2 linked regions of the Lepisosteus oculatus genome follow. The protein of the gene in region 1 interacts with the protein of each later gene in a pairwise test. Links are inferred from orthologs where the notes say so. Each region holds a gene or a part of one and is shown in the gene's direction. Other genes may lie near its edges.

What was found. The genes of interacting proteins can lie anywhere in the genome.
Region 2: the proteins of eef1a1a (region 1) and hspe1 interact in a two-hybrid assay, tested with the Homo sapiens proteins (2 studies listed by BioGRID and IntAct, with this or other methods). The link is inferred for Lepisosteus oculatus from reciprocal best matches to the Homo sapiens genes EEF1A1 and HSPE1.

What each region holds. Positions count from the first base shown.
Region 1 is NC_090712.1:11,006,690-11,014,805, forward strand, and holds the start of eef1a1a (elongation factor 1-alpha 1a), read left to right. Parts: upstream 1-4,970; 5' UTR 4,971-5,056; intron 5,057-6,631; 5' UTR 6,632-6,663; coding exon 6,664-6,807; intron 6,808-7,054; coding exon 7,055-7,234; intron 7,235-7,331; coding exon 7,332-7,628; intron 7,629-7,734; coding exon 7,735-7,885; intron 7,886-7,976; coding exon 7,977-8,116. Other genes in the region: slc17a5 (sialin), read left to right, coding at 269-430, 740-872, 1,591-1,738, 2,297-2,387, 2,698-2,835. UniProt on the Homo sapiens protein: Translation elongation factor that catalyzes the GTP-dependent binding of aminoacyl-tRNA (aa-tRNA) to the A-site of ribosomes during the elongation phase of protein synthesis.
Region 2 is NC_090707.1:7,077,067-7,084,741, forward strand, and holds the start of hspe1 (10 kDa heat shock protein, mitochondrial), read left to right. Parts: upstream 1-4,544; 5' UTR 4,545-4,721; coding exon 4,722-4,724; intron 4,725-7,340; coding exon 7,341-7,496; intron 7,497-7,675. Other genes in the region: hspd1 (60 kDa heat shock protein, mitochondrial), read right to left, coding at 1-80, 331-424, 969-1,064, 1,171-1,506, 1,994-2,167. UniProt on the Homo sapiens protein: Co-chaperonin implicated in mitochondrial protein import and macromolecular assembly. Together with Hsp60, facilitates the correct folding of imported proteins.

The sequences.
Region 1 (8,116 bases):
AGCAAGATTAATCCTGCAAAACACGTTAAAGTTATTCTCTCCTATCCCATTTACTAATTAACTGTCTGGTCAGTGTTCTGAAAACTTTCATTTGGTTGAACGTAGCCTGTTCGAAATTAAATACCTTGCTGTCGTTTATTCTTTCTACTTTTCAGCGTGAAATTAACCTTTATGTGATCCTCTGTTGTTGCCCACAGTGTTAAATTAGTATTTCCTAGCAGTTTTATTCATGAGTCATATCGTATTTTGTGTTGTTTTCCCTTCTCAGCTGTCTCCCTCAACTAAACACATTCCCTGGAGGTCATTATTGACGTCTGTGCCACTGTGGGCCATTGTTGTAGCTCATTTTTCCTACAACTGGACTTTCTACACTCTGCTGACCTTACTACCCACCTACATGAAAAACGTTCTAGGATTCAACATTCAAGAGGTTAGGACTTTTTGAAACAAGCCTGGGTTTTTTTTATCTTTGTCTAAAAATAACATCTGTTATCTCTATAAATTTATTGCTGTTATTTCATTAGATAATTCCAGTAGAACTAGGGCTTTTTGTTAATTATAAATTGTACACTTTGAAGATTTGATTGATAAATCCTTAATGATTAAACATTTTTTATAGTGTCAGCATGTTAATTGTAAACAAATGCTTGGTTTTTATTTATAATCTATAGTACAAATATTATTAATTTATTTTTTGCTGAATGTCAATATGTAATTAACACAATTTTTTCCCATACAGAATGGATTCTTGTCTGCTTTGCCATATTTGGGCTGTTGGATATTGGCACTTCTAGGTGGTCAGCTTGCAGATTACTTGAGAGAAACATGGATGGTTTCTACTGTAAGAGTGCGCAAGTGTTTCTCATTGATCGGTTAGTTGCACAGAAATATCGTTGTTCTTGGAGAGCTCCTGTGATTTCCAAAGCCTGTTCACCCTGATAAATACAACTTGCTATCAGCATTGCTGTGTGTGTGATATGAAGATGCTTCAGATACTTACAGTATATAGCAGATGTTTTTACCATTAATTATTTTAGAGTTGCCAATTTAACCTTCTTGCCCAATTTGGAAATGCTGGTTGCTATAATTTGGCTCAAATTGGCCAGAAGGTTAACCTTCAACCAAGCCAAATAACCATAACTTCAAATTCTCAATAAACCATTTAATATGCCTATTAATTGGCTGTTGTCATTCCCGGTGAACAGTGTGTTGGGAGTCTAGGTCACATTCAGCTAGTGACTTGATCTAGGCCTTTTTGAAGTTGGTGCACTTTGTGGCTTACTTACAGTGGACTGAAGCTGTTATATACTGTAGGTATTGCTTCGGGGGTTTTGAGTGACCCTTGATAAATGCATGCTATTAACAGTGAATTGATAACATATGTACATGAGAAGAATGTAAACAATTATTACAATTAATTAACAAAATGATTGAGCTTTTAAGATGGGTAACAATGTTGTGCTAATAACTGGGCATTTAAAGTGTTCCTTGGTCGGTCGAATTAAGTAATTTGCTTCTCCTAAATTTAAGGATCACTGACATGAGATCTTAATAAAGAAACCATTCACCAAGCATATTTTTTTTCTTTAGGAATGATTGGACCAGCTGTATTTCTGGTGTGTGCAGGGTATACAGGCTGTAATTATATCCTGGCTGTGACTTTTCTGACAATCTCCTCTGCCTTGGGTGGGATCTCTGCATCAGGCTTTAGTATAAATCACCTGGATATTGCGCCATCGTAAGCAAATTTTCCACACTCATTCTTCTTCAACGAAAAGAATTTCTTATTGAAAAAACCTTCAGTTAACCTCTGCTGCTTATGGTTTCTATCTGTTCATTTGCTCTTTAATCTAGGGTAATACTCATTTATTAAAATATTTAAAATGTATATATTTTTCCTTCTCTTATTTAACACAGAAATATAGAAAATGTATGTGTTTTTGAAGTTGTTTATAAATTTGATTATTAATTTTACTTGTGGATGTTGACACATGATGCACATGTCCTCAAAGAAAATGAACTCCCTAAAAGTCTTAATGCTACATAAATTGAAGTATTGCACAGTGCTGAGAAAAAGTTTGTGAACCCTCTAGGCTGGTCTGTATTCTTGTGTTTTTTAGTTCTAAATTATTAGTACTAATAATTCAATATCTTTATTTAAGACTTTCATGAATTTTGTATATAAATGTATCACACAAAGAAGTGATACATTTGAATTATTACATTTTCTCAGCGTTGTATAGTATATAGTCGCGATTTCCTTGTAAAAACATTTTATCTGTTTTTGTCTTATTAGTTATGCTGGGATATTACTTGGAATTACCAATACATTTGCCACTATCCCTGGAATGGTTGGACCAGTTATAGGCAGAGCCCTTACACATTCTGTAAGTCTCATGAATTGGCATAGAAGTATTTTCTTTCTCTTTTAACAGTAACAAGCCTTTACAGAACTATTTTAGTTTAATTATTTAAGATTATGTGGCAACACTCGAAATAATATTTCTACTTTCTATTAATTATTTCCAATGTTTATATAAAGCATTCAGTAAACACATTGCAATGAAAAGTGACAGATGGAAACTGGCTAAAAGAGAAGAGATTTTTTAATCTAAAAGTTATGCTTTCACAATAATCTTTGCTTCTGTGAATGCTGATATACAGTACAGTAAGACATTGTTTTGTACTTTATTGCAGAACACTATTCCAGAATGGCAGACTGTCTTCTACATCGCTGCTGCTATCAATGTGTTTGGTGCAGTATTTTTCACCTGTTTTGGTAAAGGAGTGGTCCAGGGTTGGGCAGTTCCAGATTTTCACTCACATGGCAGCTAAGCTCTCGGAAAACGAATCACTTTCTACCGAAATCAGGAGACCGCGCTGACCAATGTGATATGCTTTTTTCTGTTCTGCTCAACATCGCCAAATTATTTCATTGTCGTCTAATCTTGTTTAAACATGTTACTCAGGATTTTGTCCTTGCACCAAATTTAGTGAGACATAATTGTTAGATTTTCAAACATTTGCTGACAAAAATCAAGCCACCTTTGTGCATCAACTAAAACTAAAGATACTGAATGGCATGTTATTGTTTGATTTGTGTACATCTTTGACATTATTTTTATTAATTATGTATGTTTAATTCAGACTAGTTTCTTGAGGGGGCAGAAGAAGATTAATATTGACTGCCAGTGGCAGTTTATCATCAAGTGTAGGTTTCCTGAGCAAAATTTGTTCTTTGAAGAAAGTATTGTTTATTCTAGTGAAATTGCACAATTGCCATTTCCTTGGGTTTTATACTATTTGTGTTTTATAGCAAAATCCCAAGGTTTTTTTTTAAAACATGGTTAACGTAGTAAAGTGGGGAACTAGTGAGTTACAGTTTCCTATTTGTTGATATTTGGATTTTAAGTACTGTCAAGTATTTAGAAATTTTATTCAGTGCCTTTATTCAGTGTAACATATCTGAAAGCATGATTCTTGAATATTTGGAATATTAATGCCAGTCAGATTTGATGTCTGCAGACGAGATTTCTTTTCACACTCATGTGCTTGTCAGGGAAATTGGAATATGACCCATATTCCTAAATGCAAGATAGAAATAGGACAAATGAACACTATAAAATGCATTATTTAGAAATATTAATTAGCTACAGTAGCTGTATGAAGGTAATTTGTCAGCAGAGAAGCAATGACACTATAACTAAAAAAGTGGTTTATTTTTCAAACCAGATGTTTGGCTTGATTTTGTTTGTTTTTTTAATTCTACACATTGTTTCCTTTTTTATTTCAATTTCGTAAAAGTTACAGCTGTTATTTGTTGTGATAAGGTGATACGTTACTGCTTTAACAGCAACAAAAAGTCAAACTTTATGAAGTTTTGCTCTACTTAAAAAAGCTGACATTTAAAAAAAGAAGTGGCATAGCTTAGCCCCTTTTTTCCTAAATATTTTTAAATTATAATGTTTTTAGTACAGTAGGTTAAGAAATGTTATTGTAGTGAATTCTAAAGACCTTTCTGTACTTCTGTGAATAAGCTTTTAGTATGTAATGGGAATGTGAAGTATATCACATTGAGGCATCCTTTTTGTACAAATATTAATACTCTTAACTTTAATCACAAATAAATAAAAGCACTTTATTTGTTCAGGAACGTGTACAGTGCTGAAAGGAGTAAATCAGTTTAACATGATATTAAGTTGCAAGGGAAATAAAAAAAAACTTTGTTACGACTATAATAATTTGTATCATTAAATACAAATTACTGGTGTATTTTATTTTGTGACAAATGTTAAAACCAATGTACATGTGTGAGTATCTCTTCATCACCAGAAAAAGGATTCTTGGAATTGATCACTTTAAAATGTAAAACTCTTTCTATTCTATTATTTTTATGTGTGGTTTAGTTGTACTATTTAATAAAAGTGTTGTGTTCTCACCAAAACGCAGAGTGCTTAGCGAACTGTATGAATTTATCATAAAAATCATATAAATTTTATGGCACCTGCTGTGAAAACTTTTCATTCTGTACACAATATTTCCTGGTCAATATTGAACTTTAAAAAAAAGTTCCTGAACTGCATGTATAAATGAAAGTTTGTCATAACGAAATCAATCAGCGCTTGTTAAACACCATGGCTTGTATTTTTTTGCGTACCATGAAATTAAGGAGACTAGACGAACACTAGAGACACACCTAGCAAGGGGACTACTCACAAGTTAAACTGCACTTTCACTAAAGATATCCTCAAACCTACTCTGCATCCACCTGCTTAACATCCCTATTAGCATCCTAGCAACAGAACCGCGAATTAATAAAAAAAGAGCGGTGGTAGTCTTTTTTTTTAACGATGATGTTTGCCCTCCTAACGATTACAGTAACGCTACTCTTAAATGTTTTCTCACCGTCCCTGAAGATGCTCTGTCCTGGCTAAGAGGGGGTATTAGAAATGTCAGTCCTGACGACAATTGCTGTACCCCCTCCCGACAGAAATATAAACGGATCAGCGGCGGCGCTCGCTCTTTTCCGCAACGAGCACGCAGAAGCTGGAGGCAGGTAGGACATTCTGGAATGATAATTGCAGCATCTTTGTTTACTGGGAAAGCCTCGTCTTTTCTTTGGCGCTGGGTGGCATGCTGCGCTGGAAATGAGCCAGCTACACGGTGTATTCACGATTGCGATGCATGTGTTAAAAACGTCTGGATTTCTGAAATGGTTATTAAGTTAGAAACACACATTGCGCTAATGAATAACAGCCTTTGAGCATTGAATGAGGGGAGAATATGGCGGCGATGGGGGGGAGGAGTAATCTTCAGACATCTCAATTATGGGACTGTCGCCCTTCACAGCAGTTTATAACCTAAATTTGCAGCTTCCTAATGTTTCATTGGCTTAAGCCGTTCCGTATCGTTATGGCTGATATTTGATTTTTTTGTAGTGGTTCAGAGCATCAGATTAGAATTTCACACAAGGTGTTTTTTTAATTGCATTTGCCCGTTTTTAATATAATAAACCGATTATGCCTAAAGACATTATATATTGCATTAATATTTAAATAAATAGGCTCGAGGGGGACAGCTACGTTTTAAAACGAGGTTGCAGATTTTAAAATAAATACCACATTGAAATACATAAATATAATCCAGGCAGACGTTTGTCAGTTGCCTATTCAGCAGGATCTGGCTGTTGGAAGCATTTGAGAAATCTATCATACAAACTGATGTTTTGTTACCGATTTAAATGTTTTCTTAATTCTTAATAGAGGCGACACCAATACTCGATTATTCCCAGTTACAGGAATGAATATCCTAATTTGTTTTTTTTTTTATTGTGTTGGTGTAAGATGAGCATGTCTGCCTTATCCCTCTGTTGTGTAATGTGAGCATGTACAGTATACGTCTATAATGGCTGCTTTGTCAAGGCACTGGAGATTTCCTACAAAATGGAGGGAACATTGACATATGCACAGTGCTCATCCACCTTGTACACAAATAGAAATCCGTGGAGTGCGAAATAGAAATGACGAATAACTGCCCATCTCCGGAGAAACGCAAAGCAGCTGTCTGGGTGGAGCAGCCTGATGCAATCTTGTGCCAAGGACTTGGCTGCTGAACTTGAGTAGTATTTGCTGTTCAGAAAATGCTCAGATGCCAGAGACTGTGGTTACAAGTAAGATATTAATGCTGGCATACAGTACAATTAACATAACATCACTTTATTAGCCCTGTACATTTTCTTGTATTAGGAATTCATCTTTTCACAAACCCCAGCTTGCTCTCCATGAGACACAGACAGGGAGAGAAGTTTGGGGTCAGAGCACAGGGTCAGCCATTGTACAGCACCCCTGGAGTAGTTGGGGTTAAGGGCCTTGTTCAGGAGCCCAACAGAGTAGGATTCTTCTGCCAGCTGTGGGATTTGAACCAGCAACCTTCTGGCCACAGACGCAGATCCTTAGCCACAGAGCCACCCCTATACTATACATGTCCATAGTATTACACTATAGTATACACCATACTATACATGTCCATAGTATTCATGACACCTGTTAAAGCTGCTGTGGTTATGGTCTGTGTATAGTTGTGGGATATTTTGTGTTCAAATGTGTAACCTTATGTAAATCTTGTGTTGTAGATTCTATTGTTTAGTATCATCAAAAATTCACAATGGGAAAGGAAAAGACTCACATCAACATTGTAGTGATTGGCCATGTGGACTCTGGCAAGTCGACCACCACTGGCCATCTCATTTACAAGTGTGGTGGCATCGACAAGAGAACCATTGAGAAGTTTGAGAAGGAAGCTGCTGAGGTATGTTCACGGTTTAAGAACACCTTCCAACAGTTTTAAAAATTAGAAAGTCTGGTATGGTAGGCTTTATTCTGAACTTGCAGACCATGGGATTACTGTACTTTATCAGGCAGGTGAAGTGATATTAAGCCCAGGTAACCTTGTGCCAATAAACTAGGTTGTATTTTTAATAGTGCCGCATGGTGTTGCTGAAGCACTTGTTACATGCCTGGTTTAAATAGCTTATCGTATGCTAATTGGTTTGTAGATGGGCAAAGGCTCATTCAAGTACGCTTGGGTGTTGGACAAGCTGAAGGCTGAGCGTGAGCGGGGCATCACCATCGACATCTCCCTGTGGAAGTTTGAGACCAGCAAGTACTACGTGACCATCATTGATGCCCCCGGGCATAGGGACTTCATTAAGAACATGATCACCGGTACATCGCAGGTTTGTACAACTGTATTATCAGTAACCGCCATGACAAGTGACCAGACAACAACAACAGCTCAGATCACCTCTCTTTGTCGCCACCTCGCTTTTACAGGCAGACTGCGCTGTCCTCATTGTTGCGGCGGGGGTTGGGGAGTTCGAAGCTGGTATTTCAAAGAACGGCCAGACCCGCGAGCACGCCCTGCTGGCCTACACCCTGGGTGTCAAACAGCTGATTGTTGGCATTAACAAGATGGATTCCACTGAGCCGCCATACAGCCAGAAGAGGTACGAAGAAATTGTCAAGGAAGTCAGCACTTACATCAAGAAGATAGGTTACAACCCCGACACTGTGGCTTTTGTGCCCATCTCTGGGTGGAATGGAGACAACATGCTGGAATCGAGCCCTAATGTAAGTCAGATGGAGCTTACTTGGCTGTCTGGTGTAGCCCATCTTAGGACACATTGCTTGGAATACCCTTTGTGATTTTTGAGCACCTCTTTCTTTTCACTTAAAGATGACATGGTTCAAAGGCTGGAAGATCACCCGTAAAGATGGCAATGCTTCAGGCACTACTCTTCTAGAAGCCCTGGACGCCATCCAGCCTCCCACACGCCCAACTGATAAGCCCCTGCGGTTGCCTTTACAGGACGTCTACAAAATTGGAGGTGAGAACTGTTGGTTTCTGTGTAAAGCAAGGTGTCAAAGGGACAGAGTAGCAGTCCGTTCCTTAACCCACGTGCTCTCCGGCCTTCCCAGGCATTGGAACCGTGCCCGTGGGGCGCGTCGAAACGGGGGTCCTGAAGCCGGGGATGGTCGTGACTTTCGCGCCGGTCAACGTCACCACTGAAGTGAAATCTGTCGAGATGCACCACGAGGCCCTGTCCGAGGCGCTCCCG
Region 2 (7,675 bases), on another chromosome or scaffold:
AGCCGGGACGATGGACTGGACACTGGAGATCTTCTTCTCACTGAGGAGGAGATAGGCATCCTGGAACTCGCACTTCTGACCTGGGGGGGGCAGAGAGACAGGACATTGATAAGAACACACACGAGCGTTTCTGTCGCTGTGCGGATGGGCTCCCCGATGACTCCCGTTTCGTTTCTACTTATTATTACGAAAGACGCTCAAAAGAAAGGCCACGAGGAAAGAGAAAACAGCCCAAAACAAACAGTTTACAGTTCTCAAACAGAAGCCACCTTGCAGAGAGGAAGTGTGGCGGGGACAGGGTAGGGCCAGGGCCTGGCAGAGCGCCCTCACCTTTGGCAGTGTTGATGAAGTACGGGGAGATGTACCCACGGTCGAACTTCAGACCCTCAATGATCTCCAGCTCGTCGTGCAGAGTCTTACCATCCTGAAAACACACATCCAAGAACACGGCATCAGCCGGCACACCGGACCCATCACACAGCTCACACACCTCTCTCCCAGGAAAGACCCGCGACAGGCTGCTTCCCAGATCACCAGACACGGATTCCCGGAGCACTTCTCCCAACTCGAGAGCCACAGGCTAGTGGAAAAGCAGTCACCCCCCCCCCCCCCGTCTCACTTCACCAGCTCCTTTAGAGCAACAGCAATGCAGAAGCCAGGAACACTGCTGTCGAACTACCCCGATCCGCTACTCTTCCTCTGCCTATTCCTGCAGGATTTCCAGGCTCTTTAATACATCAACTCTTACACTTCAGGGGAAGGTGAACAACTGAGCAACACGCTGTTGCTCTCCAGATCTGGATTGAGAGCATCATTCTTTCCAGTGGCCAGTGCTGTGGCCAATTCAGTTCCCACTGGACAGTTCCTAATGGACCTAATGGACATTTACTTGGATCGAACCCGGGCATGGAGCTCAGAGTGATGCCCCGCCCCACCGCCCCCTACAAAACAAGCCCCCTGCAACCCACCTTGACGGTGATGACCCCCTTGCGCCCCACTTTCTTCATGGCGTCGGAGATGATGTTGCCGATCTCGCTGTCCCCGTTGGCAGAGATGGTGGCCACCTGAAAGAAGGCCAGGAAAGAGAGAGAGAGGGCCGTCAAGCGGGGTACCCCTCCCTTTTACCCTGGGGGCAACGAGGCGCACCCCTTCCCTCACGCAAGGCCTTACCTGGGCGATCTCCTCGGGCGTGGTGACGGGCTTGGAGAGCTTCTTGAGCTCGGTGATGACCGTGTCCACGGCCAGCATGACCCCGCGCCGGATCTCCACGGGGTTGGCGCCTTTGCTGATGGTGTCGAAGCCCTCCTTGGCGATGGCGCGGGCCAGCACGGTGGCGGTGGTGGTGCCGTCGCCGGCCTCCTCGTTGGTGTTGTTGGCAACGTCCTGCACCAGCTTGGCGCCGATGTTCTTGTACTTGTCCTTCAGGTCGATGCTTTTGGCCACCGTCACCCCGTCCTTGGTGACCTTGGGGCTCCCCCAGCTCTGCTCGATGATGACCGTGCGACCCTGCACGAAGGCACAAGGCGCTCGAACCAGGACAGAATCTCAGGCCTCAGGCATCCATCTCTGCACAACATGCTTCAAACCCACAATCCATACACAAACAACCCACCGCTACACATTTCCTGCTGCACACAAACGTGTACACGCGTCACTGCCAAACAATGCGTATCACACACACACACGCACACACACCAGGTGTCCCACCCCCTCCTCCTCCTCTTCCGACCCCTCTCCTGCCAGGTGTCCCCACCCCCTGCTCCTCTCCCTGCCCCCCCCACAAGGTGTCCTACCCCCCTCCTCCCCCACCAGGTGTCCTACCCGCCCCCTCTCCTCTTGCGACCCCTCTCCTGCCAGGTGTCCCCACCCCCTGCTCCTCTCCCTGCACCCCCCACCAGGTGTCCTACCCCCCTGCTCCTCTCCCACAAGGTGTCCTACCCCCCCCTCTCCCACCAGGTGTCCTACCCGCCCCCTCTCCTCTTCCCACCCCTACCTTGGGCCCCATGGTGACGGCGACGGCGTCAGCCAGCAGGTCGACGCCCTGCAGCATGAGGGCGCGGGCGTCGGCGCCGAACTTCACGTCCTTGGCGTAGCAGCGCGTCAGGTGGGGCGCCAGCGCTCGGCACGCCGGGCGCATCCGTCTCATCACGGTGGGCAAGCGCAGCATTTCCTGCAGGGGTGCAGCAGAGACGGGCCTGAGCGGCGGACAGACGGCGATCCCGCGGATCTTGCTTTCCAAGGAGCAACAGGGGGGGGGGCGCCTTGGCCTGGACCTGTTCCGGCTCCAGACCCCAGCTGTGTACCCCGAGACGCGCACGCTCACCCCACTTCTGCCACGGCGCGGGGCTGCACTGCAAGCTCACCCTGCCCGGCCTGTCTCCATGGCAACACAGCCTGAGCAGGCGCAGGGGCCTGCTTCAGCACTAACACCCCGGACACGCAGGGCCAAGGTCGTACCTGTAAGGACACGGCCTTCCCTCGAAAACCCACCGCCGGGAGAAGGGAATCTGTGGCGATTAGACAGCTGTGTGGCGACTGCCGGATTATCAGAGCTCTTAACCGTGAAGGCACACAAGGCCAATGCACTGTAAATGCACGACCGGGGTAATAGGCTCGAAGCGGGCCGCAGATTACTCAACCACGACTCCTTGAGCGCCTCCTGCGCCAGGACAGACCCGACGCCCTCTTATTTTACTGTGTAATTACACTTTCAGCAGGTGTAATTTTAAAAGCTAGAAGTCGATGTGGGGGATAGGGCGGCTCGGAACGCAGAACTGTTCTTTATAAAGACCGTGTGGGGGGGGTCCTAACTGTTTACAGACAAGAAGCCAAAAAAAAAACAACAACAATCAAATCCACTTCAAGTAAACGCACTACAAACCACCCCTCAGTCTTGTGACAGCGCCTAATCTTTCACGGCGTCTTTTCGGCATGAAGGTCCGTCCTTCCGCCCGCGTGCGTGCGTGCGGGGGTCACGCACCACAAGGTCAAAGCCGTGGCTGCGTCGAGAGCGTGCCGGTGCGCAGCGGCGCACGCGGAGCTCGCTAGAACTGAGCTTCATCGGCGCCCCCCGCTCACGAGGACATCCCTGCTCGCGGTGGAAGCTACTATCTGGACAGCGCAAGACGTAGCAGAGCTTACGACTAATCACTATCCAGTGATGTGTTTTTAAGTTGACTGTCTTAATGAGAAGAGTACAATAACCTCCTTAACAAAGCGCAATCTTTGAAAACGTTAATTCCAACATAAAACCCCCCGACTTCTCCGAATACATGCAGTTCATTATCCTTCTAGCAGTAGAGACGTAGCCGTCTCTGACTGGGATGGCGAGGTTCAGTCAGACGCTGACGAGAACAGACTGGAGCTCTCACAGCACTACACGGTTCCGCAGAACCGCTCGGCTCGCCCGTTTCACGCGGCAGGCGCTTAACGCCGTGCTGGGCGATATTCGAGATGTGCAGCGCAGCAGCGGGCAGACAGCAGAATCTCTCCCCCCTCCACAGCGTCCGTTACAGATGCAAGCGCTCATCATTCATGTCCAGTCCAGCCGGAAAACTACAGAAGGACAAACGAGCCACCCCCAATCCCTCACCTCGGGGTGTAAAGTGGAAAACACAAATAGGCACAGAAAAGCGGACGAGTTACACCCGAAGCGGCCAAGGGCAGGCCCACACGAAATGAGGAGGTTCACGGCCACAGCCGAGCGAACCACCGCTGCAGACACGCGAGCAGGCACGCACGCACGCCCGCCCGCCGCCTTCAGTCGGCTCGAACCGAGCTGTAGCGCTCCGCTCCGTCACGGCAGAGACTGAACAGGCTCCCCAGGAGCGGCGTGCGGAACCGTGCTCCAGCGGCGAGCGAGCGAGGAAGGGGAGCCCGGGTACTTACTGTCGGGGTGGATGGGATGAGGTCAGGAGGGAACAGACGACCGCCGCGCAGTGGGCTCTGTCAGAAGAAGTAAGACGGCGAGCTGCGCTGCTGCCTAAAAGCGCCTCCTCTCCGGCCTCTGAGCGGCGCACATGGGCATCTCCATCCGGGTAACGCTGGGGGCCGCCCCGAAACCTGTATAACTGCACACACTCGCCCCGCTGGGGGGGGGCGCGCAAGACTGTGGCGGTGAAGACCCCCCCACACACACACACCTCATTGGGGCCCGCCCGTCGCGTTACACGGCTCCGGGAACGTAACTTTAAACGCAGGTGGGATAGAGCGCGCCAGGGGGGGGAACCTCCATGCTCGTTCCGGGGCAGGCGATTTCCAGAAACTTCTCGGACGCCATTGGAGGAGGAAAAAAAGTTCGAGGGGTCGAAGGTGAATGTTGTGTAATTTTGATGCAATGGCGGGGGGGGCGGAGATGCACGCTCTGCTGCCAAATGCATCGCTTTGAAACACATTGCACCCGTGTATGAAGCAGTAATTCCGCTGTATGCACTCACAGGAGGCGGGGGCGGCTGTCGGTTTGCGCGCTGGCTGCAGGGCGCGCGGGGGATCGTGTCGGGAAGGTTCCAGAAGGCTCTGGAACCCGGGACAGGGGGAGGAACCGGCTCGGGGGGGGCGCGCATGCGCTGTCGGGCGCCCGTATTTCTTCACGTGGGGCGGCGATTCTGGTGTGTGAGAGAAAGCCAAGTCTCACGCGTGGAGAAGCCCCGAGCGCAGGACACAGGAGGGTCGCGGTGGAACCACGCTGCTGTGTGTAGAAACGTTCATAGAGACACGTCGGCATGGTAAGACTCTCTGCTCCGTACGCAGGCCGTGCCGTAGGGCGGCCTGCAATGGAGCAATTTTAAAATGTCTGGATATCCAGATCAGAAGCTCCGATGCGCCTTCTCTAGTACTTTCTACTCCGTGTAAGCTGAGCAGCACGCTGGTGAGCGCGCTGTAAAAGCAGGTCCCTTGGACACTTGGTATAAAGCGGGCTCTCACTGGGCGCAGAGGTGGGGATACTGCTCCATACTGACGATAGGATCGGCGCGGTCGCAGGTTTTTAACACCTGCAGCCGCACGGACTGGGCCGGCGGGCGGGCGGGCGGGGGACTCCGGCGACACCGGAGACGGAATTCGGGCTTTACCGAACCGACAGAGACCCGGGGGTCAAGGTCGGGGCCCTCAGACCGGTGCTAGTGAGCAACCCGGCGGGCTGTCTTGCCTTTGGCATTAACGTTTTCCTTTTGGATTATTTTCCGTGTTCCTTCCTAGGTGACCTGACAGAATCCGGCCTTTAAAGTCCGCCCTCTGCTTCCTCGGCGGAGGCGTTTAGTTGTTACGTCCCTGTAAAACGCATGCATGTGTGAACCCCGTAGACCATCGACAGACGTCTAAATAGAAGTGTTGCTCTCAAAGATGGCTTTAAGAACACAATTTTTAAAAAAGGGAACTTAATTTTGTGAATAAATACGTTTTTTTTTGTTCATTCTTTGTAAATGCGTGTGTTTAAAAGTCTTCTTGATAGCTGCCGTACGTGTGTCAGCCGGCTCGGCACGCGTGCCCTTGTAATCACGCAAGTTGCTACACGGAAGAACAAACTGTGGCTCCGGTTTATCTTCAATCACATCCGGGGCAGATATGAAACGTGAACTCGGCGTTTTGGAGGTCCCGCTCGTCTCGGAAGTGACCTCCTTGCTCTTTCCGAGATAGTCGCACATCTAGGCCTTTAATTGAAGCCTTCCCAGTCTCCAGTAGTTACAGGGAGTTACGATGATCTCTTCAATCAAGTAATTAGTTAACCAGATGTGCTCTCACGCAGCACAGAAAGTCTGAGGCTGGGCTAAGTCTTAACACCCCCGGAGAGGGGCAGAACTTTCTGGGTGGACATTTTTAAAACCTGTGATTTTTACTAAAACACGACTTGCCAGTTCCAGTGGTGCAATTTGCATCTGAAGGTGCATGTCGCCTTGGTGACCCCATTGCACTTCTGGGATGAGGTGCTAGTGTGCAGGAGAGGAGGGGGAGGCCCGTGTCTCTGGCAGGATCAATGTTCCCTGCCCTGTGCTCTGCTGACGGCAATCATTAACGATGCTTCCTGTCTGGCTGCCTTGACCACGCGTTGGGAATTAATTCCCTACAGAGCTCACAGGCTGTTGGCAGACGGGGCGCCCCTCCCCCCTGCTCCGCTGTTGTCCGTGCCCTTGAAGTGACCTTGATCCAAGGTCGCGCGCACAGCCCTCCTCCTCCTCCTCCTCCTCCGCGCGGGCCAGGGACAGGACCTCGTGGATCCCTGATCACACGCCGCTTTATCTGTCTGAGCTGCGAGACCTCGGGCGCTCTGCGACATTCCTCAGCCGGCTCCTTCCCCTGTCTTTGCTCCCGAATTCCTCGGCTCCTTCTGCCGACTCATCGCGAGTGACAAAGCTGTTGTTGTCGCGGGTCTCGGCACCCGTGATGCCCAGATCGTGGTTTCATCCTCGTTTTTAACCTGTTGTTCACACCTCTGCGTCGGCACCTTCGGAGGAGTAGCTGAGCAACTCGATGTTTCTGCTCCTCCTCCTGGGCATCTCTCTGCTTCGCCACCCAGATGTACCGCTCGCAGTGAAGTAAAGGCGTGAACACGTGCAGGACTTCCCTCCATGCCCTGGGCCTCTGGGGGAGAGGGAGTGTGCTCTGCCCCCTGGTGGCAGGACAGCAGGACTTCCGCCCTTGGGGTCAGAGTGGCCTGCGCTCGTTGCTTTCCCACTCGGGACGAGGATGCTCTCTCTCCTGCCTCTCTTCTCTCTCGGAGTCGCAGGGCATCAGTGGTGTGACCAGTGAATTAGTGTTGCCAAACCAGATACAATTAACATACCATTTGCAGACATTAATTATTGGACATTTGCATTAAACATATAAAACTTTATTGAGAGACAGGCTCACTGTCTGTTCCTCAGGCTGGGACAGGAGATCACACACTATTTATTATTATTATTATTATTATTATTATTATTATTGAGAGACGGGCTCACTGTCTGTTCCTCAGGCTGGAACTGGAGATCACACACTGTATAATTATTTTTATTATTATTATTAATACAGTGAGTGATCTGAGTGATCTGTCCAAGCCTGAGGAACAGACAGTGAGCCTGTCTCTCAATAATAATAATAATAATAATAATAATATTGAGAGACAGTGTCTGCTCCTCAGGCTGGGACAGGAGATCACACACTGTATTATTATTATTATTATTATTATTATTATTATTATTATTGAGAGACAGGCTCAATGTCATCAGATCACACACTGTGTTGCAGCTCTCTTGAGTTTCTTCCCTTTTCTGATTCCTGTGGGAGTGGGAATTCTGCGATTGGATGTGTTATTTCTGGGAATGGCGCTAGTCTCATCTCTCCCCCCCTCTCTCTCGGACCCTCAGGCGTTCAGGAAGTTCCTCCCGATGTTTGACCGCGTGCTGGTGGAGCGCTTGGCCGCGGAGACCGTCTCCAAGGGCGGGATCATGCTGCCCGAGAAGTCGCAGGGGAAGGTGCTGCAGGCCACCGTGGTGGCGGTGGGGCCCGGGAGTGTCAACAAGGTGATTTCGGGGGTCCTGCTGGGGCGGTCCCGGTCCGCACGCATGAAAGTAGCGCTGCTTCGCTTCAGAAGGATAAACTGCTTTTTTTAAAAAAAATGTCAAAAGAAAAAGACTGAGGAAAAATGACATAGTGGATGACCTTTTAATCAAATTGTTAGGTATTTTGTGTTTACAACCAG